Linked DNA regions of Schizosaccharomyces pombe. Changing the gene in region 1 together with any one later gene gives a genetic interaction. Each region holds a gene or a part of one and is shown on either strand. Other genes may lie near its edges.

Region 1 (8,819 bases):
TAATGAATGCCAGCCGTAAAAAAAATCAAGACAAATAACATATAAGTCATAATAACAGGAAATTGAAATATTGAGAGAGGCCCAGAATTGCATGAAGCAAAGTCCTTATGTTTGCGAATGTTTCAAGACACCATAGCTTCACACAAAAGTAGATGAGTTTAGATTAATTAAAACAGAAATTCTCTTCATCGAGGAAATTTAAGCGATTTACTTCATACCATCGCTTGACTTGTTGAGAAAAAAAACCATATAAGAAGTAGATGCAAAAGGACGAGAAAAGGGAATAAATATAATCAGACAATTGGGGTAAACGTTAAAAATTCGTAATTCTTGCAAAGAATTGAATGAAAATAGCAACTTTTCCAAAATAATAGTACATATAGGATAATCGTAACAGTTTAGGAAGTTCATAAAGTTAGAAAATCTATATAAAACTGTGAATCCCGAAAATATTAAAGTCTTCATCGCTGTTGTCCCAAGAATGTCCCATTAGCCGTCGCATACCGGCATCCTCAGCGGTTGCCAGTCGAGGGATAGACACCTGTGGGTGATCCAAAGGTTTGTAAATTGATGAAATACAAGTATTGTAAGAATGACATGAATTACATTTATGACCCAAGAAATGGTATTTCGTATCACAACGTGAGTTACAGTCATTGCAACGGATGGTAGAAATCCAAGTGTTATAGGGATAAGGCATGGGTTGTCGTTCAATTTCCATATCTAAAATTCGAAACAATGAATTGACATTAATGATCGTTTTGTAACAAGTAGGACAACGATAATTGGTTCTTATATATTCTTCATGACATCGCTGGTGCAACGGATGAGAGCAACTTAAAAAGATTACGCGTTCGCGAGAGTTAAACATGTATTCACCACAAATTGGGCAATTACAATCCGTACTTCTTTCGATGCAACGATGAGTATTGAAAACCGAAATAGGTAAACAAAGGCCACAAGTCTACAGCTGTTAGAATATGAGTTTAAAAAGCAAAGCATGTGCTAAAAGTACACGAAAGTTACCTTGCAGTGGAAATAATCATCGCCAAGACCGCGTCCTATTCGACAAATACCACAATCATCACAATGATAGCTACTTTTATTCGGATCGTCATCCCAAAGTTTGCACTGTTAAGTCATGTATTAGTGATATTGAACAAGTATCAAATAAAATATCACATACCTTATTGCAGTAATATCGGCCCATACAGTTCTTACAGTATTTGCAATATTGAGCTGCTGGTTGAACCTTGGAACATATCATGCAAAGCATGTTTTCTACGGCAGGTCGTTCTAAAACATGATCACAAGCATCGTTGTGACAGTGACGGCACGTATACCACTCGTGACAATCGAAACACTGAACCTTGCAATTGCGCATGTAATGAGAACACCCTAAAATTTCTTGCTCTTTGTCATAATAAGTCTTTTCAAGATCAGATGAGCTCAATTGGTTCTCATCAGATTCTTTCTTGTGAGTTCGTCGATATTTTAAATAACCAGACATCAGCATTTTCTACAAAGCCAGTTTAGTAATCTTATTTTCATTTAAATCTCACTTTTATGATTAATTTCATGTACTTACCTGCATAAGTAAGGCCTTTCTCTTCTCACTCAATTGCGACATCGATTGTATTTCGTGGATTTTTTCACGTACGGAATCTTGCTGCGTTAAATCCACTCCTTTCAATATTTCTTCATCTTCTTCATCTTCTTTTTGCTTTTGAACTTCAAGGAATTTCTTATTACAAGAGTCATCAGTCCCAACATCCTCTTCAGTAATATCTTTCAACAGGTCAGGAGGTAGTTCGAATATTGAGGTTAATTCTTGTGCAGCTTCCTCAAAAATCTCAGCGAATTCACGAAGATACTCCGACAATGACATCGACTTTTTTTGTGTTTGTTTTTTTTGTTATAATGATGGTTCTTGATCAAAAGGAGAAGGGGAATGCTTACCTATTCCTCGATCAGTTCAGTGTTGACTTATAGTGTGGTCCAGTGCAATGCGGAATGTGATATCCGTGCCATCACACTATTGTAAAAGCCGTAGATATACTTTGATCAATTTTAAGCTACGCATTCAAATAGTAACTTAATTTTTGCTCTCTTAATTGTTAAATCATCATTACTAAATATTTGAGCAGGCTCTTGAGAACATCTGCACCTTAACATTATTAAAAAGTATATGTAAACAAATTATTATTACTACGGTTGACTGATTAAAAGAAAACCACATCATAAATTCATACGAGTCCTTTGAATTTATCTTTTTTGTACACAGTACCAAGCTCATTTCAAGACTTCAAGCCTTTGATTTCTAAGTTCTTAAAAGGTGAAAGAGTTATAATAGTCAAATAAACCAGTGGAACATTTAATTATCATGAGCTATTAGTGTTCTTATTTCATCTTTTTCGGAAGAAAAAGAGAGCAAAAAATGAAAAAAAGTTGTCCAGCATCAGACAAATTTGTTACTCTGCCTAGTGTTAACAAAATATATAGAAGATAGACCGCAGTAAAGCGAGACAAAGAAATTAAATGAAATATAAAGATTATTTTTTTTAAACATTTGTCCAGCTTGCATAGCTTCGCCTTGACAAAATTTTCTGGCTCATTTATCTTTTAGATTTTCGTTTTTTACTTTCCCATTCATGCCAACTTCCTTGCATGTTTTTCAAACTAAACACATAAGTTAGATAAATATCATTCAACGATAAATTTTATACTTACATGACTGCTGGCTCTGGAGGTGGGCTCTCAGAAGTGAAATACTCATGCATCAAGGTCTCATGAGCTGACGGTCTACAAAAGGGATTTAGGGCAAGGAGTTTTTGGCATAGGTCAATGGCGGCAGGACTTAAAATCTCCTTAAAAGTTTCAACAAAACGCGACTTCTTTTCCTCTACTGGCTTCAGAAGCTCATACCAAGGAAGATTTTTCACCTCAGGCCAAGAATGAACATCAGGGGTACCCATCATATCATAGATAACCTCTAACTGACTGATTTCGTCTCGCCCTTGAAAAAAAGGTTTTCCTGTAAACAACTCCATAACAATACAGCCAGCACTCCATATGTCCACGGCTGTGTCATATGCAGTTTCTCCAAGTAATAGCTCTGGAGGTCGAAACCAAAGGGTAATAACGCGATTAGTGTAGTTAGCCGACTTCGAAGATGTATTAAATCTCGCCAGACCAAAATCTGCGAATTTTAGATCACCATTGTTATTCAGTAATATATTAGAACCTTTAATGTCACGATGAAGCACCCCACGATGATGAAGATAAGCTAATGCTTCAAAAATTTGCTTCGAAAGGTGTTTTATGTTACCGGGAGTAAAATGTAATTGTGAATTTAGTAAGACTCCAGTTAAATCGTGATCCATGTACTCAAATACCATATATACAGAACCTAGAATTTTAAAATGTTAGAACTAGTTATAATTAAACGGTGAATGAGGACAGTATTTAATCGTACTTTTTTCCACCATAATTTCTAATAGCCGAACAATATTTTTGTGACGCAAACGCTGCAAGATTTTGACTTCACGGACAGTAGTTATAGGGAACTAGAAAGTTAGTCAATTTAGTTACGAGCTTGATTTTTATACTTACACCATCCTTTTCCTGCTCCAGCCTTATCCGTTTTAAAGCTACCAAATCTCCTGTGACTGTGTTAATGGCTTTGTATACTTTACCATAAGTTCCTTCTCCAATTTGGTCGATTTTCTCATAGGCAGGCTTTGGATATGTATATGTATAAATTGGGCCGGAAGGAGGAGAAGGAAGAGGAGCTGGAACAGACTCACGGGCCGTGGACGTGAGTGCCATACGTTTCGAAGGAGGTTGATCGAATCGAGATCGGCGTTCATTAGGTATATGAAAGTGAAATTTTCCATGTTTGTTCTCTGGAAAGCCAGAAGACACGCTAGATTTTTTTTGTGTATCGGAGGAAGTAGTTTCATGAGGGATAGAAGGAATAGGGGGAGGAGAAGATGAAGGTCTCCGCGATACCTTTCGACCGTTAAAAGCTGAAGGCTTCATATGTACAGAACTAGGCGGAGACCTTCGAAAAGAAGAAGCTTGCCTTTTTGAATCATTTCTGTTTGCGGACGGTGATATAGGTGAGACGGAGGCGCTAGAAGAGCTTTCAGAGCGTTTGGCAAAGTAATCCTTGGTAGTTAAATTACGTGCTCGTTTTTGACTACCTGAGCGGTAAAAGGAAGGTGATGGAGGTGAGCCAGGTCTAGGACTGAATGCCTTTTTACCCTTTCTCCTTCTAGATTTTCGAGAACGAAAAGGTCTTTCATGCTGTCTTGCTCGGGAAGAATGTGTATCGTTGAGAGGAAATGTTCTTTTCCGCTGTTCTCGAGGATCCTTCGCAGATGAGGATGGCGATATACTAGATGAATTATTTTTGAAAGCATTAGAGGACAGGGTGTGGCCTCCTAAAGACTCCTCATTTGTACCAGAAAGCTGAGACTTTTCTTCGACGGTACGCCGAAAGTGGCTATTTGGTTCTGTGCCTTGTCGGCGATAAATTGTACTCTTCGAGTATGACATTTAACAGGGTTAAAAAAAATAAAAAATAAAAAAAGGAATATTCCTAAACAATGAAGAGAATTACACGCAATCTGTGAGCGAAAATTCGATGGGAATAAAAGAAAAGAAATTAATCGTTAAAGTACGGCCAAATGTGTTTTTATGTAACAATAAATACAACTTCACCGGAAAAAAATCGTACAAGGGAAATAAAAGGTAAGCTGCCAAGACAAGCTAGTTAAATCCAGTGAAATAAATCATGCAATCTAATAAATGAAGAAAGGACAATTTTCAGAGTGGAGATTTTTTTCACCGCTAAACTATGAAGGGTGAACGTGAGACAAACCTTTTCAATCAATAGAGAAATCTAACCAGAGATTTGTGAATAAGTCGGTTGCAGAAATGTTATTGAAACGTAAATGTACAAAATATGAGTATCCACAAAATTAGGAAATACTTTTAAGTATCAACTCTTGCAGCTTAAAAAAATATACCGTAATTTTCTTTTAGTTGCACTCCTGATTTCTTTGATCTATCAATTCAAAATGTACATTGTTAAAAACACCAATTATCTCGAAATTTAATAAAGACAGAAATAAATTAGTTCTTCCTCTTCTATGACAATGAATGAAGTAGTTTGCAAGTCCACTAGTTTAATCAAGGGGCGATAGGTAAACTTCGTTGTTGGTGTGTAGTAGAAATAGAAATAAACGCGCGCGACTCAATTCCTTTACCACACCATACTTAAAATAATAAGTAATTTGAGGCTATGATGAATATCAGCTTGTTTTATAGAAATCAAAGTAAATAATGTATTTATTCAATGCTTAACTCTTAGCCATTTTCTCTTCCCCATTTGCTAAGATGGTCTTTTAACTATTAACTAAGTCCAACCAGTTATTCTCAATTCATATAATATTATTGGATTAAACCTTTTCATCTGAATTATATTAAGTTCATATTTAACATTTTAAAAAGCGATGAAGATAAATCTGGTAATCCGCATGGATCCTTGGAAATTGCCATTGGCGATAGTAAACCAAAGGAATCAAATGTCGACTAGATAAAGGCAAGTCTGAGCTTTTCTATTAGTTTTGAATCGTTTAAAATAATATTATTTATGAGAAATTAATATTCTACCATAAATTAGTGTTTTCCGTGAGTCTAAAGAATACAAAGTAAAATAATCAATAATATGCAACCCTTACATGTAAGGTAGGAGGGAATATATTATTTTACTGTATATAGAAGTTTTACATCCTTTCATAAGTATAACGTTATCACATTGGACGTTCTAGTAGAACGCCAGTCTTCAAAACATTAAAAATTCATATTCAGCCTCTCAAAATCTATTGTGTGCAAATTGTTTGCAAAGCTAAATTAATCAATAATATTTTTTTAAAAATTAAACAAAAATGCTTGGTTTTAGAAAGAACAAGGTTAGGTCAAGAGCTTCAAGATGAATAACTCATGGAATTCTGTTCCTGTTGTTTATTCAATTTTAAGAGTGATGATTTTGACATAAATTTGGTGCAATATTGTTTAAATAATAGTCTCATTAGTTAAACTAAATGTTTAAAAAAAAAAAAAATCATTGCAAAAAGCTAAATGAGCATAATTGATTTTTTATAAGTTTTTTTTTTCAAAAATGCAAACAAATAAATTAAATTTGTTTAATGAAATTAAAAAATAAAAAGGTAGATGATCGTACAAACGGCTACTACCAGTACGATATAATTTTTTATAAAAATTCCAAAACGTAAGCATAATTAATATGAAATAATAAAATATCATAGAAATTCAAGTGTACAAGGATCCTACGACCAAATGTTTGCTTTCATATGTATATATTCAATTCTAAATATTTATATAGCTTACTCAATTTGTGCAATTTTAACAAAGAAACGTGATTTTATTACAATAAATAGGTCATTAAAAAAATAAAAATTTGCACTTATATTCAATTGACTGACATACAAAACGTATTATCAGAGTTAGACTTAAATAAAATTTTCCTTATTCAACGGACATCCTATACTGGTTTCTGTGGATTTATGATATATTTGCATATGGTAAATTCAGCGAGAGAGTCCCTTGCACTCAATTATATTCACCAATAATACTTAATGAATCTTAATCGAAAAGACATGGACGTTGTGCTTTCAAATGCGAAAACCATATCTTCTTATTCAACATTTAATATGGGGTAAAAGTAGAGTACTTCTAATATCTTAAAGCAAAGCAAAAAAAATAAGCTCTTTTATTATGTTATATTTTCGTTAATAAAAATCGCTTCTTCAAACATTTATTCATCACAGGTGCGATATAAGAATCTGAGTTTGTACTCTATAGCAGCTCTTTTAGCTTTCAGTATTTAATTTATTCAAATGCTATATGCATAATTCCTTCATAGTTTGGCTATGTCTTATCGTTTCGTTTAGTATATTTACAATTCCATTTTATATGTGTTAAAGTAATTATCGAAGAAAGAAGACTATGTAGGGAGAAAGTTTATAAACTGTTAATAAATCGAATTGGTGTCAACTATTATTTAGTCTAACATCGGTAATCCACAGCAATAGCTTCAACGATATCCTTAGGCTTGAAAAAACAAAACTTTTATATAGGAGTTAAATTCACCAAATTATATTTAATTTTTTGGCCATCAATGAACAGGCCAAGTGCATTTTAATTAATGTTATATTGAATCGCACTGTGGAGCCTTAATCCATTTAAAGTAGATATAGTTAGAACTCGTGGTATTTCGCAAAGATACGTTATTCAGAAATATTAATTTTTGTTGTTAACTTGCGCCAGAGCAGCAACATATAGTGTTGCTTGTAATTACTTTAATTCAGCCATTTAGATTACATTCCAGTACTTATTTTTTGTGCTGTAAATCCCATTTATTTGTTATGTGCAATTGAATGTCCCCGGTATTTTGTATAATAATTATTTCTTCATACTGATAAAAAAATGTCGTCTTCTAAAGATTGCAAAGCTACTAGCAATGTCGATCAAACAATTCCTGCATCAAACGTGAACAGTGGTGACTTTATTTCATCGAATACGAGCAGTTCTAATAGCGAAAACTCCAATATTCAAGGAAAACATTATACCCAAGTTGGAGAGGATGCCGATAATTCATTTATTTCTGAAAATACTCCTAAAAACACTTTTGAATCAACTCAAACATATGAAAATCTGGAGAGTATTTCTAAAAATGAACCAACCTCTGAAGCATCAAAGCCCTTGTTAAATGAGTTAGTTCCTGAGGAACCATTGCCAAGGGAGCCGCCTTTACCAAATGAACCAGTTCCTGAGGAACCATTACCAGGGGAACCACCTTTACCAGATGAACCAGTTCCTGAGGAACCATTACCAGGGGAGCCACCTTTACCAAATGAACCAGTTCCTGAAACAAATTGCCATAAAGAATCTCCTTTATCTGACGAAACAGTTTCCGAAACATCAAAAAATGATACTTCTAACTCCCCTACAAATGAAAACCAAGCACAGCCTTCCATTGCTTGGTCCGAGGGTCATCGGATAGCCGCTATTTGGGACCCTTCTCAACAGGCTTACTATTTTTGGGACACTTTAACAAATACGACGAGCTGGAATAATCCGTTAGAAGATGAAGAGCAGACTAGTCCCCTAGATTACACAGCGAAAGTTCAGTTCAATCGCCTATCTGGAAAGTTTATGCCAAAATGGGCTTCACCAGAGTTGCGAAGTGAAGAAAACAAAGCACATAAGCATATGGAACAGTACTTTGACATCAATTCTTCATTGAATAGTCACAATGGCCAAAGTTTACTGGCAGAACGGAGAAACAAGCGATATACCAGGAAAGAGATGGAGCAAATGAAACGAAGAACAAAAGAGAAAAAAGAAATGAAACGAAGAGCGTTATATGACATCGCTTCAGATGAAAAGGACTTCCGCCGTCGCAAAATTATCCGTTATTAATGTTTTTATTCCATTGTTTCTTTCTTGTTTGCATGTTTTATTATTACTTTAAAACTTTAAAAAAAGTCTAAACAATTTACTATAATTTATGTAATGATATTTTTTTTTTTACTTAACTAAAAACTTTCAGTTTTGTAAGACTACTGATATCCAAACAAAGCTATTTTACAACATTATAAATCGAATGTTTAGACGACCTTTTGTGTTTGAATATCTTTCAAATTTAAAAAACATTCATATAGCAATATTCGTTTAATGTGCTACAGTGAACCATCGTTATTTTGATATCGTACATGTGTAAATAGAGC
Region 2 (5,986 bases), on another chromosome or scaffold:
AAAGAAACTGCCCGTATGGAGGCTGAGATCTTTGAGCTCGAACAGCGAGTTGCTTTAGCTAAAGAAGCTAAATCAGTGTTGGATAGCTGGGTTCATCACGAAGCCAACGTTCGCGCTGAACAACAGGAACGTCTCGTTGAAGATGTCTTGGCTCGTGTCAACAGCAAAGTTTCTACCCAAAAGTTCCAACAGGATGCTCTCAATGAAAGTCTCGGTGAAATCGAAAAGGTCTTAGCTAGTGCCTAAATTGTTTTTTCGAGGGACATAATACGATAAGACAGCTGCAGTTTTTTTCAGTCATATTTGATTTGCATATATGCTTATTAGCAAAAATTTGCGTCATTATTGGTTTTCAAATTGCATTCACCGATTAGTCGAAGTCATTTGAACCTAACAGTGTATATCGTCCCCGCTGCTTTCTTTTATTTTTATTTTCTTTGATCCTAAACCCCCTTCTCTATTTTGCCTAGTTGCAGCTCTTACGAATATAAACATTTTTAGTGATATCATGCTATTTACCTGTACCGCTCTGTTTTAGTAGTACACTCATTTTTTTCGTAAACATATTATTTAACCGTAGTTTTTAATCCTAATAGAAATACTTAGCTTCACAAATAGCTAAATTGAATTAAAAATAGAGGGTAAAAAAAAGAAATACAAACCCAACAAAAGCACCAGTAATGGAAAACAGAATTTGTCTAAGTGAAACATGTAAATAATGTGCGCTTCGATTAGAACAAAAAAAATTTTTTTAAAATTAATTTAAACGTTACATAGCCATATCTTGAGAATCAAATTTAAATTCTCCTTGAGCTTGAGGGCCATTGCCAAATGTGAAGGCGCCATTTTCGGTTTCAGGTGCCAAATCTTCAACTGCGTCCTCGTCACTGAAATACTTTTCAATGATGCTATACGCTTTCAAATAAATATCGTTATTTCCGGAGGATTGCAAATCATGGATCATATCCATACCGCCAGCTTCCTCAACGTAGACAGCGTATTGATTAATGTTTTCAAGATCCATAGTTCTGTCCATCTCACCAACTTTAAGTATGTTTTCAATGGCATCGAGAGCAACTTGAATAATTTTATTATCGGATCCGTTCAACATATCGCAAAGTGGCTTAATAACGCCTTGTGACACAAGGTAACGAATTTGGTCAGGCTGACCGAGACCGCCAGAAGTAGCATTAGAAATAGCCCAACAGGCTTCTTTTTTTGTTTTGTAGTCGGCATATGAGAGTAAATGGACCAATGGAGGTATAAGATTACTTTCAATAATTGCTTGGATTTGTTGGGTATTGCCAGCAGTAATATTGCTAATAGTCCAACAAGCTTCCTTACGAATGTTCTCTTTTTGATGACTGAGAAGACTAGGGAATGCATTGAGAGCACCGCAATCGATTATGATCTGTGTTTGCGCGTCAGTACCTGTTACTATATTCCCCACAGAGCGAAGGGCAGGAGTTTGAATATTAACGCTGGGAGAGCTCAAAAGTTCAACAAGCCTGGGCGCACATCCAACGTCTAAAATGGCGCCAATTTTTTCGTTAGGTCCATCAGAAAGATAGGAGATGGCCCAGCACGCGTCAACAATAATCTCAACGTCTTCAGAATAAAGGAGCTTAGCAAGGATTGGAACGGCTACAGAAATAGTTGACCAGTTAGGTGGTGGATTTTTGCCTCTACACAAGTTAGAAAGTGTCCATGTAGCGTTACGGAGCATAGAAACATCAGAAGCGCTACTCTGAAGAATATTAAGTAAAGGCTGTAAAACTCCGTTACCGAGTACATAGTCACGGCAGGCAGAAGAATCGCCAGCTATGTTACCGAGGGCCCATACAACCTGCTCACGGACATCTTTTTCAGGTGAAGAAAGTAATTGAATAAAACGAGGAACAGCGCCGGAATCAACAACAATACGGGTTTGATCTGTGGTACCACTAGCGATATTTGTTAAGGCCCAAGCCGCTTCAAATTGAAGCAAGTGATGTTCACTTTCTAAAAATTGTACGAACCGGTCAACAACACCACAAGCAATTACCTGATCAATAGGGGGATGCGTCTCCTTAGAAAGATATTTCCTGAATTTCGTGACGGCACCTAATTGTAGCTCAATGTCGTCTGACATCACATCAGCTGTCAATTTAGGAAATTCATCTTTCATTTGTTGCTCCATTTGAACCTGAGACTGATCAGCCTCCTCTTCCACATCAATGTCATTTTGTAAAACAGCGTTTAAATTCCTTCGTTTATTCAAACTTTCCTCACGTTTTTGTTTGCGGATTTCAATTTGCTGTTCTTCACGTTGCCGACGAAGTTCATCAGCTTTGAAAACACCTTTGCTTTTAAAACGGCTTCTTCTATCTGATAAATATCTCGATTCCATTTCTATAGGAATAAACTTTTTTGATATCCTTTTTACTCTTTTTTTTTTAGTTATCTAAGACAGTTGTGGTTGCTGCGAGTTTAATGAGAATAAGGAGGTAAAAGAGCACTTGTGTCGTTCCAAGAAGCAGCCGGCACCCAGGTAACAATGTTCAAAAATAATAAATTTAGAATAATTTGAAATATATCATTTTCCGGTTCAAATCGTTGAAACTTTCTAGATCATTTTTGTTCTGTCATTGGAAACCTTCGCACCATAAAACGGGTAAAACAACATGCTTATTGAGCTCATCAACCAATTTTTCTTGGGTTTTTAACAAGCTGAATGCTATAACAAGAATTCAAAATTTAAAAACAAATGGAATTTTTCTTTAAACAACCTGTCAAGTTGGCCTATTTTTATTTTTATTTTGATTATATAATACATATAGTTGAGCAATTTAATCTTTGAATAAATACTTATTTTTCAAACACTTCCGTATCTGTTTTGTAAGCTATTAATATGTATACATTAATGGTCCATTGTCTAACTAGAATTTATTTGGTAGCTATTATTAATATATATATTTTTTATTTTTTTTGTGATAATAAAGATTAATTCGGTATTTATATAAATTTAGGAATTAACTTAACGGCGCTTGAAAACATATTATCGTCATTCAGTTAAAATGCTCTAAATCATATACACTATAGGAAGTAATCTAATTATATAACATTAACTTTATTAATTCACAAAGTAATTATGAAGACCATATAAACGAAGCTGATAAATCTCTATATCCTTGTTTTTTCCATACATTATTTCTTTCCTTCAGTTGTATGCATCATTTATTTATACTAAAAATTATTAATAGATTGACTATTTAAAACCAGAAACGAAGGAAACAGAAGAGATAAATAAAGAAAGAAAACCAACGATTTCATAAGAGCCAATGAAAACAATATTGCTGTTATAAGCAACCGAAAATATATTTAACATCTGACACATATCCAGTAAAATTATAAGAAACATTTTCTTGCATATTATTAAACCCAAATCCCAAATGACCAGAACGAAGTCTAGTGATTCAAAGCTTATGACTTTGACAAACCTTTGAATGCAACTTCATCCATTTCTTTTTTTACTTTCTTATATAATTCCATCGTTGCTTGGGCATCCTGGACGGAAGAATGCTGTCCAGATTGAATGTCACGCCCAAGAATCACTTCAGCAAGTTTTTTAAGCCCTGGTGTCCTTCCCTTGGCTAATTTCCGATACCCAGAAAATCTGCTGGTATCACGAATCATTCTTCTTGGATGCGATAAAAGTAGTACTTTGAGATCGTTATGGACAGCATGTCCAACCAATACTCGATTGTCGAGTATCTTAGCAACTTCTGCTTGTACTTTTTCAAATGAAGGTGCATCCCGCATGTGAAATGACTTGACACCACTGACCCATGTTCTCCAATCCGTAACCTTTTCTTTAGGACGGACATAAGTATCATACACGACATGACCATGATAATTAACTATACTGACGCGTGCAAGAACTGACATGTCATCTGCCACCCCAACCATTTCACAATCCATTGCAATATATTTCCCCAATGTTTCCAAATTGGTTTTTCTGGTAAGCTTGGAAGCATCCACGCCATATGCGTCAAGGACTTGAGATTCAGGGATATCATTTTCCTTAGCAAATTTCTTTAATTCATTCATGCGTTTTTTATCGACGATATAAGAATTCTCATTCTCATTGTTTTTACCTTTCACACTTTTAAGGTATTTCTTTTCATTAGAATGCTTTTTTTCAACCCGTCCACTCTTAGCGCTGTCGAGTTTCTAAACAACCAATACCGTTAGTATACTTAAACAAGAATCTTAAATGACTTAATGGAAACTATAGCCTTTCATACCTTCTTTAACTTTTCCCAATTGGAAGAAGACATTGCTTGTGCATAAGAGCCAAAGTTGGTGCAAGAAGCAATTTGCAACCTCTTTCAATATGATTCTCAACGCGGTATCACAAATATTTTATCACATTTTAGCACATTTCATTATTTTGAATAAAGCGTTGATGATAGTACGTTACGTTAAGTATCATTATATAAGTCACATGCCTTGTATTTATTTATCTATAGTATATATACATATATTGACAGTGATGCACCATTTGTTGCTTCTTGATGTAACTACTGCCAAATATACGAGACTATGAAATAAATTAACCTCCGTTCTTCGGGTCACCAATGAGCTATTTCAGTGTGTACCCACTTCGTAAGAATATTATAAGGTACCGGTGGTTAATGCATTTCCTAATAAAAGAATATTGTGAATATTCAAGACCCGTAGTAGCATATTCGTTAAACATTTAGTGATTTATGTTTGCTTAAAAGGATAGATTGTATTGAATTTGTAGCATTGTCCGCTATCTTTTTAAAAGCAGAGTACTGCAATTTTAATAACAATGCACCTTCACGTAATATGAAAACACTCAGAATGAATGGATTATCAAAAAGGTACTGAAAGGGGTGGGACTCGAACCCACGAGCTTTCGCACTAGTGCCTTAAACTAGCTCCATAACCACTCGGACACCCTTCCACGATCAAAAATATAATAAATATGTCGAATGTATTACTATTATCATTGTTTTTCTATGTTAATTAAAAATACTTAGCTGATTCTGTAGTTTCTGTAGTTTATTTTTTTTCGCTTTCCATTAATTTTTTTTTAAATTTTATGTACTGTTTTATGTTAAATTTCTTTTGCTTATGTCAAGCGTGATTCTAGCTTAATTCTTTTTCCCGATTGCTAGACAGTCGGTTTTTAGGTCGATACATTACAATTACAAACAATGTCATAAAATCAAAAGCTGTGCATAATAAATATCCGATGCTGAAATAACAGAAAAGTTAATTAGCGATTTATTGTTCTTGACATTTGCGCTTCAACAATTGTTACCTGCATCATGGACCTTCAACAACTTGCGACTTTCAACTCTTTTTAACTCATATTACACCTACATAAAAAAATGGCATGTAGGTGTACTCAGCTTCAAGATACAATTGATGAGGTAATGGGACTAGTTTTCTTTTTCTATTCTAACCTATGTAGGTTGCCACACAATTTTACTCTTCCATTCATTATTTAAGTTCTCATCATGATTTCGTTCCTTTACCTGGTCAAGAAAAGGTTTCTGATTCTAAAGGTATACAAGATTCATTATGATGCTATTCAAAGTAGCTACTAACAAATTATTAGTGAACCCAATTTCTGCTGAAGAGTTACAATGTACGATATTAGACGTCCTCTAGTCATTTTATGTGCTAACTTCTTTTTGTAGTCGCTCAAAGGGATCTAGCAAAAGACTTGGTTACAAAATTTATGCAAATAGACACTTTGATCAACCAACTTCCAGGTATTTCCACTGCACCAAAACATCAATTAGAGAAAATTAAAAAGTTACAAAACTCCATTGAAGAAAAACAATTGGAGAGGAAGAGTTTAGAATCAGAAAATGAAGATTTAAAATTACAATTGGCCAAGAGGATTGAAACATTTGGCCGGTTATCATGTGTCCTATTTCAGCCCTGATGATAATATGTAAGCAAAATA
Region 3 (9,404 bases), on another chromosome or scaffold:
ACATCAATTGATCAACATGATGCTTAAAATTGCAAAATCCAAAAAAAGTAAAACCATCGCTTTTAAATACTCAAAACCATAATTTTTTTTCTTTAATGTAAAAAAAGAACAAATTTAAGTAACCTTCATAAATCCAATGCATTTGTTGTAAGATACTGGTAAATAAGGGTAAGTTTTCTGACGAGTTTTATTATTTGTTTACATTTTGTATAACGCACACTAACGAAACAAATTAATTAACGTCGCGACGCGTCCCGTGTACCATACTGACCAAACCAAATAATTTTGCCAAGGGAAGAACCTTGAGAGGAGTGTCTCAACCTTTAGCAAACTCCATGTGAGTGGATTCTCACTTGAAAATTAAATGTCTGCTTTTACATAAGTTAAGCGTTACAGTGATAAAAACACTTTAATAGTATTGTTGTTACTAAGAACAATATATCTTTTTATGTGAAGTGAGTTTTCTTTTTATGATAATTTTATCTAAGACACTACTTCTTCCTTTCTTAACTTCATTTGTAATTGAATTATTTAAGCACAATTTTGTTCATAAATTCCTTTTACAGCTGAGAAGATGAAACCGAACACAACTAACCTAAGGAATGAGTGCTGGGATACTTTCTCTATTCCTAAACGCTCTCAGAATATAAAAATAAATCAGTCTACAAAACATCAAAGGTCTATATCTGATTTCGTTGGCACAGCTGGTCCTGGTCGACAAGTTGGAAACTGGATTATCAAGAAAACAATTGGTGCTGGCAGTATGGGAAAGGTTAAACTCGTTGTAAATATTTTAACAGGAGAGAAAGCAGCTCTCAAAATGATTCCCTTTACTCCTAATAATACAAGTCAGACAGTTCGTGTTCAAAGGGAGGCACTTTTAGGTCGTTTATTGAGACATCCCAACATATGCCGGGTAATAGACTGTATCCGGACGCCTGCATGTACTTACATACTGTTCGAATACGTTCCTGGAGGACAACTTTTGGAGTACATCCTTGCTCGTGGCAAACTCGATGAAGATTTGGCTAGGAGTTTTGCTATGCAGTTGATTAATGCATTGGTTTATCTTCACAAGAATTTTATTGTACACAGAGACTTAAAAATTGAGAATGTTCTTTTAACTCAGGATTCTCGTCAGGTGAAGCTAATTGACTTTGGCCTCAGTAATTTTTATAGTAAAGACGATTTATTACGTACATACTGTGGGAGTCTTTATTTTGCGGCCCCAGAATTACTTGATGCAAAGCCGTACATAGGCCCAGAGGTTGATGTTTGGAGCCTGGGAGTAGTGATTTATGTTATGGTTTGTGGACGAGTCCCATTTGACGACGTTTCCGTTCCTATGCTCCATTCAAAAATAAAGTCGGGTAAACTGGAGTTTCCTTCTTACATTTCAGAAGATTGTTGTTCTCTTATTGCAGCTATGCTGAATGTAAACCCACGGAAGCGCTGTTCTTTAGAACAAGCAGCAAAATTTCCCTGGTTAAAAAAAAATTCGTTTTGTTTGTATCTGCCTATTCCCTTAACCTCTATTCCCTCAACGCCTTCAATCCGATCTCATGTTTTCAAACCGCCTTTTAATTTAAAGGTTTTACAGCTGTTACATGAGCATGGTTTAGCAAGTATTCCCGAACTAAAACATGAACTTTACATGGCTTACATTGAGAGAAAAACAACTTCATTAGTCTGTCTGTATTTATTGGGTGTCGAAAGTCTCGCTCCAGCACTTCGAATTCCAACGGCTTTACCTCCTGTATATAGTAGACACCAACGGCATCATTCAGAAATTCTGGGTGCGATGGATTTGACAGAGAAAATTACTGCTATGCAGTGTCCACCTTAATTCCTCCTGGAGTAATTTTTGTTAGCATTTATTATGTGTTTTCGAAGAAGTTCCATTTTAATTAAAACCTGTGGCTCTTTTTCGTTACTTTAATTAAAGAGTTTCATTGTTTCTAAACTTAACTTTTTTCTTTTTTTTTTGTTAGTGGGTAAAGACGAGTTAAGGCTTTTTCTTTTTGTTTTCATTCTTAAATAATACAGTTTTGCAATCCAACATATACAAAGATTCTTACGACTTGCGTTATAATTTTAAAATATAATTGATCGATTTTTGATAGCATTACTTCTTTAAATCCGTCGCTTTTCATGAAATATTTGAATGCCGAATGCTATAAACATTTATAGATAGATACCTTTCGCCATTGAAACCGAATGAATTCTATAAGTTTCTTTGTCAGGTAATTTAATTACCTTTATTCTTAATCAATTTATTGGTTGAGTTATCTTTACATTACCCCAGTAGGTGTGGGTGCCAAGTAAACCTTCATCGATAGTATATCTAGTGAAATGGTGATAACAATACTGCATTGGATGATTGCTTGATACGTAAAGAAAATAATGAACATATATATACTTAACATTCTTACGAAAGTAATGGAAGAGAAAAATTAGAAATTACGTTGCGATATAATATATATTTTTTTAACTACAATATATATGTAATAACGGGCCCAAATTAGATGACAGGAAATTAGATGTAAGAAATCAATTCATAACGTAAGACATTGTTCAAAATTAAAAAAAAAAGAAAATTAGTGGGCAACTATTCAATGTTGCCCAATGTGCTCTTTGGAAACTAAGTATACACATATTCCTATAATAAACATAAAAAGGGAATAATTAAAGAGTTTAAAAGGTAAATGAAATAAATTATGGAAGGCATCATCTAGCATAACAAAGATATGCAAAATTAAAAAAATATAGATTTTTAAGCATGACATGAACAAATCAGCTGCATGCTTTTGTGACGCGTTAAAAATGATCGTTTGTTGAAAACAAAGCCATGTTTGCATAGAAATATTTTCAAAATAAATTAGAATTGGGCAACCAAGGTTCTAAAAGAGAAGGTCCCAATGAGTTAGCATCTTTGAGTGAGGAAGCAATAGGATCAGTTGATGTAAAATCCGTAATTTGTGAAAATAAATCATCCAATTCTTGAGAATGAGCGGCGAACTCATAATTGCCATTTGAGAACAAACTTTGAGAAAAACTATTAATGTCAACAAAGCCTTTACTTTGTTCGTCGCTTCTCCAGGTATTATTTTCAGTATGTCCAGAATTGGTAACACTAGACGAAGAGACGCATGTATAGCCAGAACTGCTGTTCAATCGACTCATTGCTGGGTAAGAAGTATGGCAATAAGGCGTAGATAAAAGTTCGGTCTCTTGGCCGTATAAATACGCAGTAGTGCTGCCTACACTGAGAGGAGTTCCTAGGTACTCAGCTCCATCAAAACCATAATGATCACCGGTATTCGGGGTTTTAGGTGATATACTGGCATTGGGGCAAGAGGGAGTTGAGGGTCGAGCATCAATAGGACTACAATGAGACAACACTTTATCGGCTGACAGCTCTGGACTATCAGAGTTACTTTGCTCACTCACGGTTCCTTTAGAATCAAATTTTGGAACTCTTCGAGCAGAGCAATTGCTTGAATTTTGAGGCAAGTTCGCCTCCAAGCTCGGTGTTTTTGACATTTGATAAGATTTGTCAACACAGCCATCAGATGACATTGATCTTTTCGGTACTATTCGGGCTTTATTAGCTAAACACACAGATTTTGTTCGCCCGATTGGACTACCGCTACTGGGTGATCTATAATAGATGCCCAAAGAACTAGGAGCTTGCTCGGATTTATCCAATGTAGAAATAGTTGTAGAAACTTGATCGGTGAAGGATAAGGAAGGAATTGTATGACTTCGAATCATTGGGGAAGACGAAAGACAAGACAATTCACTGGTTTCAATAAGATTCGATTTACCTGACTTTGGATATGAAAGAGCGGGAGCTAATAAAGCTGCTAAAGTTTCCTCCTCATTAACAGGCTTTTCGGGTTCGGTCTGTTTTAGAGTCTTAGAAGATTGTGCAATTTGCTGCAGTACAACGTAATCCGAGGCCACAAAAGATCCGGAAGAAGGTGATACCTTTTTATGGCGTCTACGAACAGTAGACCGCTTTTTAGGGGTGTACTTGTATTCGGGATTTTCCAGCATATGTTTCTGCCTTTCGAGGGCGGATAAATCAGAATAATACTTCTTGACTTGGGCACTTTCATTTCTCCACAGCTGACCAATGATACGTGAGATACTTTGGTGATTAGAAGTAGGAATTTCAGCTTGGCGATCTCGACGATAAAGCATAAAACTGTTTAAAGGTCGCTTAACAGAACTTTTTTGGTCCTTTTGCTCGGCTGTTAAAGAAGCAGACATTGTGTAGAGAAGAGTAAATATAAAAATTGTAGTAAAAGTAAGGGAGAAAATAAAACAAATGAAACGGTTCTTAGAATTAATTAGAAAGATGATTCAGTAAGAACAAAGCAAACATAAATGAAGTTCGCAGTCAGAAAGAACGAAGTAGAAAAGAAGCGAACAGCACAAACCGAGGGAGAGGGGATGAGATCAGAAAACAGTAAAGAAATAAACACCGAATAAAAACTGGTGTGAAGGATTTTTTTCTATTTAAAAAAAGAAAAATGGTATTAAGATAGAAAGAAATCTCAAACTAACAAGAATGAAAAATGAACAAATTATTCACAGTGAAGTAACAGATGAATATAGTAAAAGTAAAATTCCCTTGTATGTATCAACAAATAAATGAAAATAAAATTTCCGTCAATCTAGATATTAAACAAGCTTGTTCGCCAAAGAAATCAAGTTCAAGCTTAATGAATAGAGACTGACTGGACTAAAAAAAAGAAAAAAGTGACAAAAGTATATTTGATGCCAGGTTTTTCCTAAACGAAAAAAGTAAGGTAATGAAATAATAAATGAAACTAATGGAATTTCCAGCTCAAGAAGAAAAAAACAGAAGCAACACTCAAAGCCGATTTGAAAAATGTAAAGAAGCGTAGAAAAAAAAAGATGAAAGTTGAGACTGAAAAGTTACTAGATCGAGTTGGAATGATGAAGGATATTTTTCGTAAAGGCGATTGAATCAAGGATAACTTGAAAGAGACAATTAGTAGAGGTCCAAGTGGAAGAAGGAGTGAAAGTGATATATAATAGAAGGCCACAAGAAAAAAATTGAAGCTTTAAAAGTGATTTTCTTATAAGCCTAATTTTAAGTTGAGGAGATTTGAAAACGAGAACAAAATCACGAGCCTCTAAGGCTTTTTTTTCTCTATATAAAACGGAGGAAAAACTAAAAACAAGAAAGAGCGGAATAGTTAACAGGAAAAACAGACGAAACGGAAGACTAAATAACGGAAAAGTGAGTCAAATAAAAAGGCGTAACAAGGGAGAAATTTCAGAGACACCGATAACTGAAGAATGGTTGAGCTCTGTAAGATGGTGAAACTTTGGGTATACAAATAAAGTGAGGAATACCAATGAATACGTGAATAATGCGACAATGACAGGGGAGAAATAATGTTATAACATGAGCCAACAAAGACCGATGGTGAATGCAACTTAATTCTGAATGGTGTGTACTAATGGAATCACAAAAGAAACACGTTAAAAAAAGGATATTAAAATAAAATGAGGAATGAAAATCTAATAGATCAGATATCAAGGATAAGCAGCCAAGCGATAGAATAACGATGCGAATAAAAAAAATTTAAAGTTGGGCAAAAATTGCAACAAAGAAACAACTTAGTTAATTAGTAGAGAGAAAGTTGATAAAGGATAACTATGGTGGTAGAGACAAAGAAATATATAAAAAAATTTTGACGTAGAAAAAAAATAAAAAAAAGGGGGGGATTCGACGTACAGTAAGGGAATCGACGTAAAAATTAAAAAAAAAGATAAAATCCTTTTGATTTCAAGAAACGAAAAAATTATTCCAACACTTCTCAATTAACAATTCCAACAGAGGAGGATCCCAAAAGAACGTAGAGGCAAGAAAAACGAGAAAAGTTTGAAGAGAGAAGCGAAGCCAATTGGACCAACAAAATGAAGAAACAGAATAGAAGAAGAAAAAAAAGTTTAAGTCTGTTTACTATAAAGAAAAGAAGAGATGTGAATAAAAATTAATCAACAAATTAAACTTAGAAATAGTCAGTGAAAATAAGTCAAAGTAAAGTCAAAACAAAGAAAAGAATAGAGCTAAGCCAAAGCAAACCAAGATAAAGGAATAGACTTAACACGAATAGACAGGAAAGAATGGGAGGAGGCAAGCTAATTCAAAGACGACAAGCTGCAATCAAGACAAAGACCAGAAAAGTTAAGTTAAGTTGAGTAAAAAAAAAAAAGAAAACAAAGAGAAAACAAAAAAACGAGGCAAAAGCTCTCAAAGAAAAATAAAATGCAAACTAATCAAATGAAATACTTTCTTTTAGCATTCACAATCAGGTTTAAGATTGAAAAGTCAGAATGCTAATAATGCTTTGTTTATTTGATAATAAAGAAAATCCAATATACGACGCGAAACAATTCAACGCTGGATATCCTTTTAATATATGCTAAATGAATAGATTCTCACTATGTAAGTCACCAGGTATGTATGTATATATATATATATATACATACGCATTGGCAACCAACTAGTAAGAGTATAGAGCGAGGCGTAATACGCGATGTTACTGACAATGAAAATCAAACAAAGAAATTCAACTTTTTTAAGTCTAGCCAAAATGTGTATGAGGGGAAGGGACAAAATTCACAGGGGTTAAAGTAACATATGATGCGAAAGCATTTGTCACTTTTACTTGCCTACAAACGATGTAACACAGCAAACAAAGTCAGGGATTCCCCCCTGTACAAAAGATTAGTGTGGCACTTGGCAAAAAGTCTCGCAAAGCTACTTTTCGTTGAGGGAGATAGCGCAAGGCAAAATGACAAGAAGCCAACGACTAGTCTTCCAATGAATGAGGAATTGTAGAACGCTGGGGAAGTTGGAGAGTTAAGGAGGGGTGGAGAAAGCAAAATAGAGTAAGCGGGCATTTGAAGAGCGGCAATTTGCGAAACCGCAGGGTATTATAGGTAAGGTTTAAGCAAATGTTAAAAGAATAAAAAAGCATAGCGAATGTGTGAAAACAAGTGCCGGCAGTTTGAGTAGTAAGCAAGTGATGAGGAAGTAGTTTGGGGTGAACGGAACGGGAGTGAAATAAGAATGGCGAAGACTTGGAGTCATGATGAAAAATACAGGTACTACGAGCGGAAGGAAAGAAACCACACACATACAATGATTCTATCGAGTCATTGCCATTGGAATTTTGCTACAATTTACCGAAAATTAGGCGTGGGTGCTTGTGTTTCCCTTCCATCATCCCTGGAGATGGCATGCACCACAAATAATCTATCGCTACAGTGATAGACATGTAAGATGGAGAACAAGAATGTCGGAAAGGTAAGTGCTGTGGTAGTACAGGGTGATTTGCATAAGAATGACATTTTTTTAGCAAGATCATAAAATGGGAAACGCGATGGAAGAGACTATGTGAGACACAATGTATGCTGTAAAAGTATAATCTTATTATATTAAAAAAAGAACGACGAATAAATTGAGAAAGGTGAAAATTTCAAAAAAAAAATAAATGGAATGGAAAAAAGAAATAAAACCATTGAAAACGATAAAAGTCCAAAGACTAGACATTATTTTAGAGAAGGAAATGAATGCTACTTGAATTTGTGCAAAGTAGCTTTGACTTATGCAATGTAATAGAAAATAGGAATTGCCGCCAGATTAGCGTATGTGTGCGTACAACTTGAGATATGCGCTAATTTCCATTGCATATCACCCAATCGCACTATTAACCTGGGCTTTTGTAAGAATTGAGCGAGCGACCAGCAAAACAAGGTTGAGCTTAAAAGGTGGATGACCCGCCGAGTCAGAAAATGGCGGCCGGCAAGATGCAGAGAGGAAGGAGACGATAGGAAGGAGAGATGGGAGAAAGTAGAGGTAAAGATGAAGATGAAGATGTAGATTAGTTATAGATGAAGACGAGTTTTGAATGAAAAAGGTTACTACTGAACGATAACGAATTTAATTTGAAAACGAATATAATTTTTTGAAAACGACTATACTTTGAAAATAACCTAAACCGATAAATTTATAGCTAAAAACTTCACAAATTGTATTGTGGAATGTTTTCTTACATATCACCAAAATTGCATCCTTTTGGAACTGGACTCTGCTAGCCAACTGTGCTTATCATTGTTGACTTGTATAATCCCTCATTGCGGCTAATCGATGTTGGATAGACAGTAAATGAAAAAAATGGAGAAAAACAATTTGGTGAAAAAATTGACCATCCTATATATGGGTGACTCTTGATCATATGTATATCTCTGATCATATGTGTCTTTGACCATATGTATCTTTAAAAATGCTATAGTGTTTTACAAGCGTAACTTATTAAATTTCTACCAACCCATTTTATTGTCATATCCATTCTCCTCTAGTATCTATTCTATCTTACTACTTCTTCCTATTCTACTCGAATAAACTTGCCGATTAACTTTTTGCTCTAGAGCCGAGTCCACTTTTGAAGCGGGGCTTTTTCTCAACAAAATGACATTTTCTCTTCAACTGCGAAATCAAACCATTCTTTTTTCTACTGTTGCTTCAGCCACCAATCTGATTACGATACAATCTCAAATGGCGCTGCTCAGTATCAACTTGCCGGCAAACTTCGTACCATCCAAATTAAATCAACAGCAACCATACAATGTAATGATATATACGCGACAACTTATCCGGACAAGTGTACTGTTTTTTAGTGTTGTATTCCTATCTACTATCTATAAAAAGAATTACAAATTTCATGAATTATTATGCAACTAAGAACGAAACGCACTTTTTACAACTTCCTTGTTTTGTCTTACCTTACTCTGTGTAATACGTATTTTTTTCAAGTGGGCGCCCACAACTGTAGGTGAGAAGAGTGATGGTCATTTTGTAACTATGATGGCAACAAGCTCAAATAACGTTGCCTTGGTACATTTAGGGACATATTTTTTTTTTCCAGTTCAGTAGTATCTAAGCCTACCTTGAAATCCCACGCACAACCTTAAAAATAGTACACTTTATACCACATACTCTAATGCTGCCGGATGCACTTTTCCGGTTGAGCGTTGCAACTTCATTTTATATATTTCGCTGTTGACGATGAATGTGTCTTAAATTGACGTACAAAAAAAATATATTAGGTTGCAAATTATTACACCATTAGTCGTTGTTGGATTGCGTTCACGTTAGAATGTGCTATTTCCTTGAAGTGGAGGAATTCAGGGGATGGTTAGTTTGAAGTTGGAGGAGATTCAAGGAGGAGCGAATGGATGAAATACAATTAAATGAATAGCCGATTTGCTGGAGAGCAATTCGATAAAACTGGTAATGAGCGAGAAAACGGCGCAAATTATTTTAAAAAAAAAAAAAAAAAAAAGAAAAAAGAAAA
Region 4 (7,503 bases), 1.5 Mb from region 1:
TTAGGTTTGCCAACACAAAGCTTGATATGCAGCCAGACCCTGTACATAAATCGAGAATCTTTAACGGTTTTAATCTCTCGAGTCGATTTAGCTTATCAACCACACGTTCAACCCATTCTTCTGTTTCCCAACGAGGTATTAAAACTCCTTGTTGACAATCTATCTTGATATTACCAAAAGGTTGACTTTTCAGTATATACTGAAGTGGATAGTTTCTTGCTCGAAGTTGACAGGCATTTACTATCTTTTTTCGCAACCCATGTTTGCTAATTTCTGGATACAGCAGCTTTAATTCCTTGCATATCCACGTCCACTCTCTTTTAGCCAAAGATGGATCTCTTGTGGCATGATAAAGAGGGAGTAGGCAAGGGTTTTCTCGATATAAAGCAAATTTAGTAATTCTTGGTAGTCGCATATGACAAACACTATAATTAGGAGGACAAATTATCTCAAATTACTTTTATCTGATTATTTGCTTGAATGAAGTATAGCAGAATTAACGAACGTAAATATAAATCAAATTCTGTTGTCTATTGTACGAATTCTTTAAATTTATTAGAGGTAATCGATGAAACTGAATTGAATATTGTAGAAATAGTATAAGTATATATGATACGAAATAGGAAAAAAGGTGTTTTGGTTAAAAACATTAAATGCGTCGGCGAATGTTATATCTTTTTCTATTTTTTTTTTTAAATTTTGCTGACTCGTAAAAATCATCATTCGTGACGCATTTTAAGGAAAGATTAAGAGAAAAGGATATGAAATCCTGAATCTAACAATTGTAAGCAAAATTAACAGTAAACCCCTGATTTCCTTAAAAAAGCCATCAGAGTAAGTTCTGTCCTGAGGAATAACTTGAGCACATTAAGAGGAGTGAAAAATGACAGGGCAAAAATAATAATAAAGGAAGATATAAGAAAGACACAAGAAAAAATTGGTGACGGACGAATAACACAAAAAATCGCCATATGCCAATCACTTACGGTCACAAATTATGATTGAAAGTAAACCAGATAGGAAACGAAGGGCAGATATTGAAATAATTAATTCAACATTTAAGAAAAGTTTTTTAAAAAAAAAAAAAATAACGATTACTGATTAACAACGGCGACGTCTGATAAGTTGATTAACAATTGGGCAAGACATTTTTTAGTGTTGTGATCATCCTTTAAAACCTGAGCAAAGGTAGCATCACGTAAAGGTTCTGGTAGACAGTGTCTTAGAGCTTCTCTGGCGCGAGGATTGTCACTAAGACGAAGATAGCAACGAATAACATGCTTTAGTAAACGAAAAGCAAAAGAGTCTACAAGCTGCATTACCATGTTGTTCAAAACCGACGCAACTGCATAAAAGCGTTCATATGTTTGACAAATATATTGAAGACCAACGTCGTCACATAAAAATTTTTGTACGATGAAAATCGCAACGGTTTTTGATAATTCAGAACCGTTCTCCATGATTCTGAGACAAAGAGGAATAATTTCTGTAGATAATAAAAAGTTGATTACTTCTGGAGAGTCATTTTTAACTAATGCACCAATCACCCCTAAACTAGTAAGGCGCAGGTATTCAAAAGGTTTGGATTTTGAAAGGGTATTCAAAAACGGGTATAGAAATAAAGTAATGTGTGCATTTAAAAAGTGGATTCTAGTTTCAGGATGAGAAGCGATACACTGGAGTAAAGCTAGCGCGTTGCACACTCTGTTACTAGTTGGTCCTGTAAGTGTGGGTGGATTTAAAAGAGGATAAACGCTGATAATTTCTTGCAACAAAGCCGTCATCACACCATATGAATGCCATAAAATAAGAGCCAAATCTTCATACTGTTCTCGTTTACGAGATAGTTCGACAAGAGCTTGTTCGCGAGATGTCCCAGAAACAAGTTGAATTATCCATTCATAGACAAGTGCTGGTTCATAATTAGGGGATTCCAAGTTTTCCATTTTTTCTAGAATGCGGGAAAGAAATAAAAATGCTATAGTTTATTGTCGAAAAGAATAAAATAAAGAATAATAATTTTATAGCTGCCGGAACTAAAGAGCAACACCTAACGAATTTGTAGTTCAATCCAAAGGATAGAATAATGCACTAAAAGGTAAAGAAAAGGTATTAACGTTAAACGACAGTCAGTAAAGTGCTGAGTGTCGAGAAAATGATAAAGCTTTTAAAATTTTAATGGAATTTCAGTCCTCGTGCTATGCGTGCCAAACAGTATCAACTTGCACAGCAATACTGGACTTAAATAATTTAAAATACAACAATCTTATAAACCTGAACTGCAAATGCTGTTCCGTAGATTTCGCGTGAGAGCAATGGACAAGCACAGTGTTGGCAGGGAATAGCAAACCTACCGCACTGCGCGTTAGAAAAATGCAAGATACATTACTGAGTAATAAGGAGAATCAAATATTTTTAAAGAAAAGTGGGCAAAACGCATTTAGAAAAGGTATTTAACCATTCTTAGCTCGCTTCTAATAGAAGCTATAAAATAACAGAGATATAAGAAAAGGAATTTACCTATGTTATATCTTTGAAAGCCTTTTTTAAAAGTTATTTCTAACGCTTTTGTAAATACTACTTTTCTAAAGATTTGTAAATACATATTCATACCGAATGCGTAACCGTTGATGTTTGCTAATTGCACATCATTTACACTTTCATCAAGAGTAATTTAGTATTCAAACATATAATAACTTGAGCCGTTTCTTCTTCAATAATTGCGTTAATGTTTGAATAGCTTTTTTGTTTACTATATTTACCCTTACGAAGAATTATGAACAACATTCACGAACAATTAATATAGCGTAGTATAAGGATGTATGCTATTCTGCTTCTGACTTTAATCTCTCGATACTGACTGGCGCCATCAACAAACTTCCTACCATTTTCTATATCCTTGTGGTTGATTGTTTTTTATTTGAACCTACCTATTATTATTTTCGATTACTGTTTGTGAAATTTTGGTTGACCATTTCTCATGGAAAGCTAGGGGCCAATTTTTTTCCTACAACTTTGAGCATTGTTTTATCCTCCATTTATTGGTATACTTTGCTGCCTATTTTTCGTTTAAAAAATAAGCTAAATTTTTCGTCTTAGTAATATAATATTGGGCACTAACGTATCAAGGAATGGATATTGAATCAGACCACGAGCCTAAGGAGTCTTCTGTTGATCTTGAAGGACGGCATGATTCTATACGCAAGTCTTTTGAAGCTGACGATATTGATGTGACAGATGAAAACACCATTTTTTCTACCTCTAGAAAAGAACAAAGCACAATTGAACCTATGGATTCCTTTGTTGAAAACAACATAGCCAATAGCTCCTCTCAACAGTCAGTTTCAGAAATTGACATTCAGTTGCCTTCCTCTGAGCCTAAAGAAGGTGTTAAAGAAGAAAGCAACTTAATAGAGAGTAATTCTTTGGACAATGTGCAGGAAATTAATCCTCAAAATACCATTGGCGACAAATCGGCTCACACAGAAGAGGAGTCTTCAAATGATAACTTGGTAAAAATTACTGCTGGAACCATTATTTCTGACATAATGGATGAGCCTGTTGTGGATGAAGACGATAAACTCTCTGAAGAAGACTTGAGCAAGGAAGACTTAGAAACGACTCTTAAGGGTGACGAAAACTATTCATCGTCGCAAAAAGAAATATATGATAATGATGAGACAATTCCTAAACCACCATCTCCAGAAGTCGAAAAGATAGAAACTAGTACTTCAGTTGAGAATGCATACATTACGAACTCTCAATATAATGACACTCTTGATATGGAAGATCAGACATCTGATTTAATTACAACTTTTGAGCATGAAAATGAAGACCATGAAGTCCACGAGGTTCCTTCCATTCACGGAATGGAAGGGACTTTTGAAACCGTAAATCTAACTTCTGAAGCTGGGAATGAAAAAGAGTTTAACAACGATTCTGTAGTATTGAATACGACGCCAAAAGAAATGCAAATTTCATCTTTAGATGCTGTTGACAAACTTGAAGATAAGCCTGTTTCGAACGACAATATCAAAGCCAATATAGAATCGTCGACTACAGTTGATAGGGCTTCATCTCAGCTTGAATCGGAAAATAACGAATCCACTTTTTTTGTACATAACCAAAATTCCTCCGGGCAACATCAAACTTTGGATTTCGTCGCAAGCAAACCCGTTACCGATACCCCTGAGCTTAGTAAGGAAAATACGTTGGTGTCTTCTGAAAACCTAAATGATCCCAAACCAAATTTGCCGGAGACTGAGGTTGATTTTGGAGAGCCTTTGGAAGTTGAGGCTCCCAGTTTTGTGGTCCAGAATAACAGTGCTGTGCAGCCAACGACCCAGAAAACTTCCGAAGATTCAACCGATCTACACACCAATGAGATCCCAAATGTTGCCCAACCTCCTTCTTCTTTTGAAAAGGAGAATAACAAAGATACTAGCAAGTTGGAAAATCCGGATATTTCTTCATCACCATTAAGTCCAACTGAAGATTTGTTTCCTAATGACCCAGAAGAAGAAAATTTATTTTCGGCGGCTTTGGGCTTGAATTCGAATACTGGTTCGCAGCCATCAGAAACCCAGAGTAAGCCATCAATCGATCCATCTGAATCAATAACTGTAACCGATAATCAAGATTCTCTTCTCTTTTCCCAACTCACTAATAATGCTTTGCAAGCAGAAAATGCTACGAAAGTATCCGAAAACACTATCAATGATGAGGAGTTGATAGATGATTCAGAATTTACTTCGCTTATGAGCAACTTTTTGGAAAGCAGTACTGTTCAAACAAATAAGTATCTCCCAAAATCATCAGCATCTCCGCCAGCCAATGCTCCAATTGTTTCTTCGGATGTTCATAAAAATGAAAATGCTGGTACAGCGCGTAGAGCTCCTCAATCTGGAGCATTCGTTGCATCAAAGGCGAAATATTCTTCTCCTTATGATTTGCCCGAAGAAATAGTACAAGTAGCACAGCAAAAAAGGTCTGTATCACAAAATTACAACCGGCAGTACTCTTTTCAACCTCGTCCTGCTACTCCATCCAATCCCCCTCGTTCTTTACCTCCTCCTAGTGGTCAGGTGAATGCCCCAATGAGTCAAACCCCTAATCCAATTTCGTTTGCTTACCAGCATGGTACTCCTTTGGCGACACCTACCATGCGCGCTAACTCTTTCAATTCCTATCCAGCGTCTAGTGCTGAACCGATCAGGAGACCGGCAACCACCACCGTTGGACACACTCCTAACTTGTACAGCCCAAAGACTAATACGTACAATTCTCGACATATGGCATATGAAATGACAAAATCTCATATTAACGTTATTTCTCCGGGACCTTCTTTACAAGTTAATGCTCCATACACGCCGACTTCTGGCGAGCTTGGTAATAAAGTTAGCAACCCTACCAAGGAATTCGTATCGACATCGTCTTATGCACCTGCTGCCAACACAAGAAATGCTATTATTCGTGAACCCGGTATTCTATCACCTCTTTCTCCTCGTGTACAGCCTGTACTGTCTCGACGAGAAAGCATTATTTCGATGGGTTCATCTGCCAGTAGTTATGTTCCTTTGGAAATAGCACCAAGACCGATGTCTTCGCTTGAGCATACTATGAATTCTGCGATGTCTCCGGGTAATTTGCAGAGAACCGCAAACCTGTACAAACCAATGACGACTCCCAATGCATATAATATCAAAAATTCCAACCAGAGGGAAACAAAATATCCTTATCAGCCGCAAGCTATAAATTACTCTGAGGTTACCCAGCCTGGTAGTTCTTCGTTACCGACAAGCGGAGAAGAAGCGAACATTATCAGAAGTCCAGGATTTACACCTTTAGCAGCACAAAAGGATGCAACCATATATACCCCTTCTCACGCACAAGCAACTTTATACGGTAATATGGATAATAACGACAGAGATAATGAGGGTATCCATGACATATTACAATCAGATATGGAACCTGTATTACCCCCTCATAACTCTGCTTACCATGCTAATGCTCCCGTAAGTTCTCATTCAGAAGGACTGAACAATAGACTTCCGATTTCACCCCTTCCACCCCAATTACACAAAACTGGCACACCTTCACATCAACATGGATTTGACACTGCTGAAACTACGGCGAAGCAATATGCACCATCTATTCCACCGAATTTTAATCCAAACGTAAGCATAGATACAATGACTGAAGGGGTTGCGCTCCCTTCGGCTACTCTTGATTCTGATAAAAGCTCGTTGCATAAACGTAGCGCTGAATTATCACGAAATAATTCTCCCCGCCCTGATTTCTTACCATTACCAAATCAGCCACTTTTGCATTCTAATTTGCATTCGCCTGTCTCGCCAGTTGTTGATAGTAATGAAGACTCTCGACTTAAATTTTTAAGTACGCAAAGACCTGCATTTTCGTTTGGACCTTGTGGTACAATCGTTATGGCGTTTTCCACTCCCAGTGGTTTATACACAACTAGTGGCAAAGGTACCAAATTCATTGCAGGACCCATTAAAATAGAAAAATTGGGTGATGTGCTAACGGATGAGTATCGTCATCTAAAGGAGTTTAAAGGACCATACCTTGCCTCTAATGGAAAGGTAGATAAACATGGAAAAGCCGAAGCTATTGAATGGCTTTCCAAATATATTGACCGTCTAAACCAATCGCTAGAATACGACGATAAAAACATTACGCTTAAGGACAAGTTACTTTTACTACAGTGTTTGAAGATGCTACTGGAAGTGAGTGATCGTAAGCTAATAGTTGAAAAGCTTCGTCCTATCTTATTACCTTCCTTTGAAATTCCTGAACCTTGCAATACAGCTACTTCAGTTCAAGAGCTTATTAATCCTGAAATTAATCAGGATGATTCTCCAATTGTCGCATCTCGTTATTGCACAACTTCTTTCCTTCACCGATTTTATGAATATTTATTGTCTGGCAACAAAGATGAAGCGCTTACTTATGCTTTGCAGCAGAAGCAATGGCCATATGCGATTATTGTTGCGCATTCTATAGATGCAAAAACATTTCAGGGAGTAGTACGAACGTTTTGTAAATCAGAGGTCAAAGAATCTATGCTTAGATCTGGTGTTGGAGTAAATTTACAATTATCTTTGCAATTAATGTCTGATGCCCATGCGTCTTCAATGTCAGAGTTTTCGTCTTCTACGTCACTATTGAATTTGGCGGATCAATCGCAGGCAAGTAATGCTTTGGTAGCCTGGAAGGAGTTGCTGTACAATATTATTGCAAATCATTACTCTGACCAAAAAGAAGCATTGAGGGTTTTAGGGACATTACTACTCCAGGAAAACCGTGTTTATGCGGCACATCTGGTTTACATCTTAAGTTTATCACCGGATGTTTGCTCGAACAAATCGAATTCTCTTTTTGAACTTGTTGGTTTAAGTAAACATAACTTATATCCTTCGCATGATGATTTATTTGACGTTACACAATTGACCGAAGTATTGGAGTTGGTATTCAACGTCTATT

What was found.
Region 2: mutations in lsk1 (region 1) and imp1 are lethal when combined (synthetic lethality), as found in Schizosaccharomyces pombe (2 studies listed by BioGRID, with this or other methods).
Region 3: of lsk1 (region 1) and ste11, changing one suppresses a phenotype caused by changing the other (phenotypic suppression), as found in Schizosaccharomyces pombe (one study listed by BioGRID).
Region 4: mutations in lsk1 (region 1) and rcd1 together harm fitness less than expected from each alone (positive genetic interaction), as found in Schizosaccharomyces pombe (2 studies listed by BioGRID).

What each region holds. Positions count from the first base shown.
Region 1 is NC_003424.3:3,950,212-3,959,030, reverse strand, and holds lsk1 (P-TEFb-associated cyclin-dependent protein kinase Lsk1), read right to left. Parts: upstream 5,236-8,819; 5' UTR 4,561-5,235; coding exon 3,613-4,560; intron 3,567-3,612; coding exon 3,476-3,566; intron 3,461-3,475; exon of another isoform or gene 3,410-3,460; coding exon 2,731-3,409; exon of another isoform or gene 2,680-2,730; coding exon 2,616-2,679; 3' UTR 2,162-2,615; downstream 1-2,161. Other genes in the region: SPOM_SPAC2F3.16 (ubiquitin-protein ligase E3), read right to left, coding at 425-964, 1,027-1,131, 1,187-1,519, 1,589-1,888; splicing-associated factor Saf2, read left to right, coding at 7,516-8,511. UniProt on the Schizosaccharomyces pombe protein: Catalytic subunit of the CTDK-I complex, which hyperphosphorylates the C-terminal heptapeptide repeat domain (CTD) of the largest RNA polymerase II subunit. Involved in RNA polymerase II transcriptional elongation and pre-mRNA 3'-end processing.
Region 2 is NC_003423.3:3,913,029-3,919,014, reverse strand, and holds imp1 (importin alpha family nuclear import signal receptor adaptor Imp1), read right to left. Parts: upstream 2,461-5,986; 5' UTR 2,390-2,460; coding exon 770-2,389; 3' UTR 501-769; downstream 1-500. Other genes in the region: F0-ATPase subunit atp4, read left to right, coding at 1-246; exoribonuclease Rex4, read right to left, coding at 3,463-4,212, 4,287-4,319; srb7 (mediator complex subunit Med21), read left to right, coding at 5,403-5,444, 5,486-5,579, 5,633-5,662, 5,715-5,965. UniProt on the Schizosaccharomyces pombe protein: Functions as a component of the nuclear pore complex (NPC).
Region 3 is NC_003423.3:3,980,457-3,989,860, reverse strand, and holds ste11 (DNA-binding transcription factor Ste11), read right to left. Parts: upstream 6,486-9,404; 5' UTR 4,276-6,485; coding exon 2,869-4,275; 3' UTR 2,461-2,868; downstream 1-2,460. Other genes in the region: serine/threonine protein kinase Ppk25, read left to right, coding at 575-1,846. UniProt on the Schizosaccharomyces pombe protein: Key transcription factor for sexual development. Activates the transcription of the matp, matm, mei2, mfm, ste6 and rgs1 genes. Binds specifically to a DNA fragment carrying a 10-base motif 5'-TTCTTTGTTY-3'.
Region 4 is NC_003424.3:5,416,866-5,424,368, forward strand, and holds rcd1 (CCR4-NOT complex subunit Rcd1), read right to left. Parts: upstream 2,309-7,503; 5' UTR 1,947-2,308; coding exon 1,095-1,946; 3' UTR 501-1,094; downstream 1-500. Other genes in the region: mtq1 (S-adenosylmethionine-dependent methyltransferase), read right to left, coding at 1-415; multidomain vesicle coat component Sec16, read left to right, coding at 3,132-7,503. UniProt on the Schizosaccharomyces pombe protein: A differentiation-controlling factor that is essential for the onset of sexual development. Induces ste11 when sexual development is invoked through nitrogen starvation.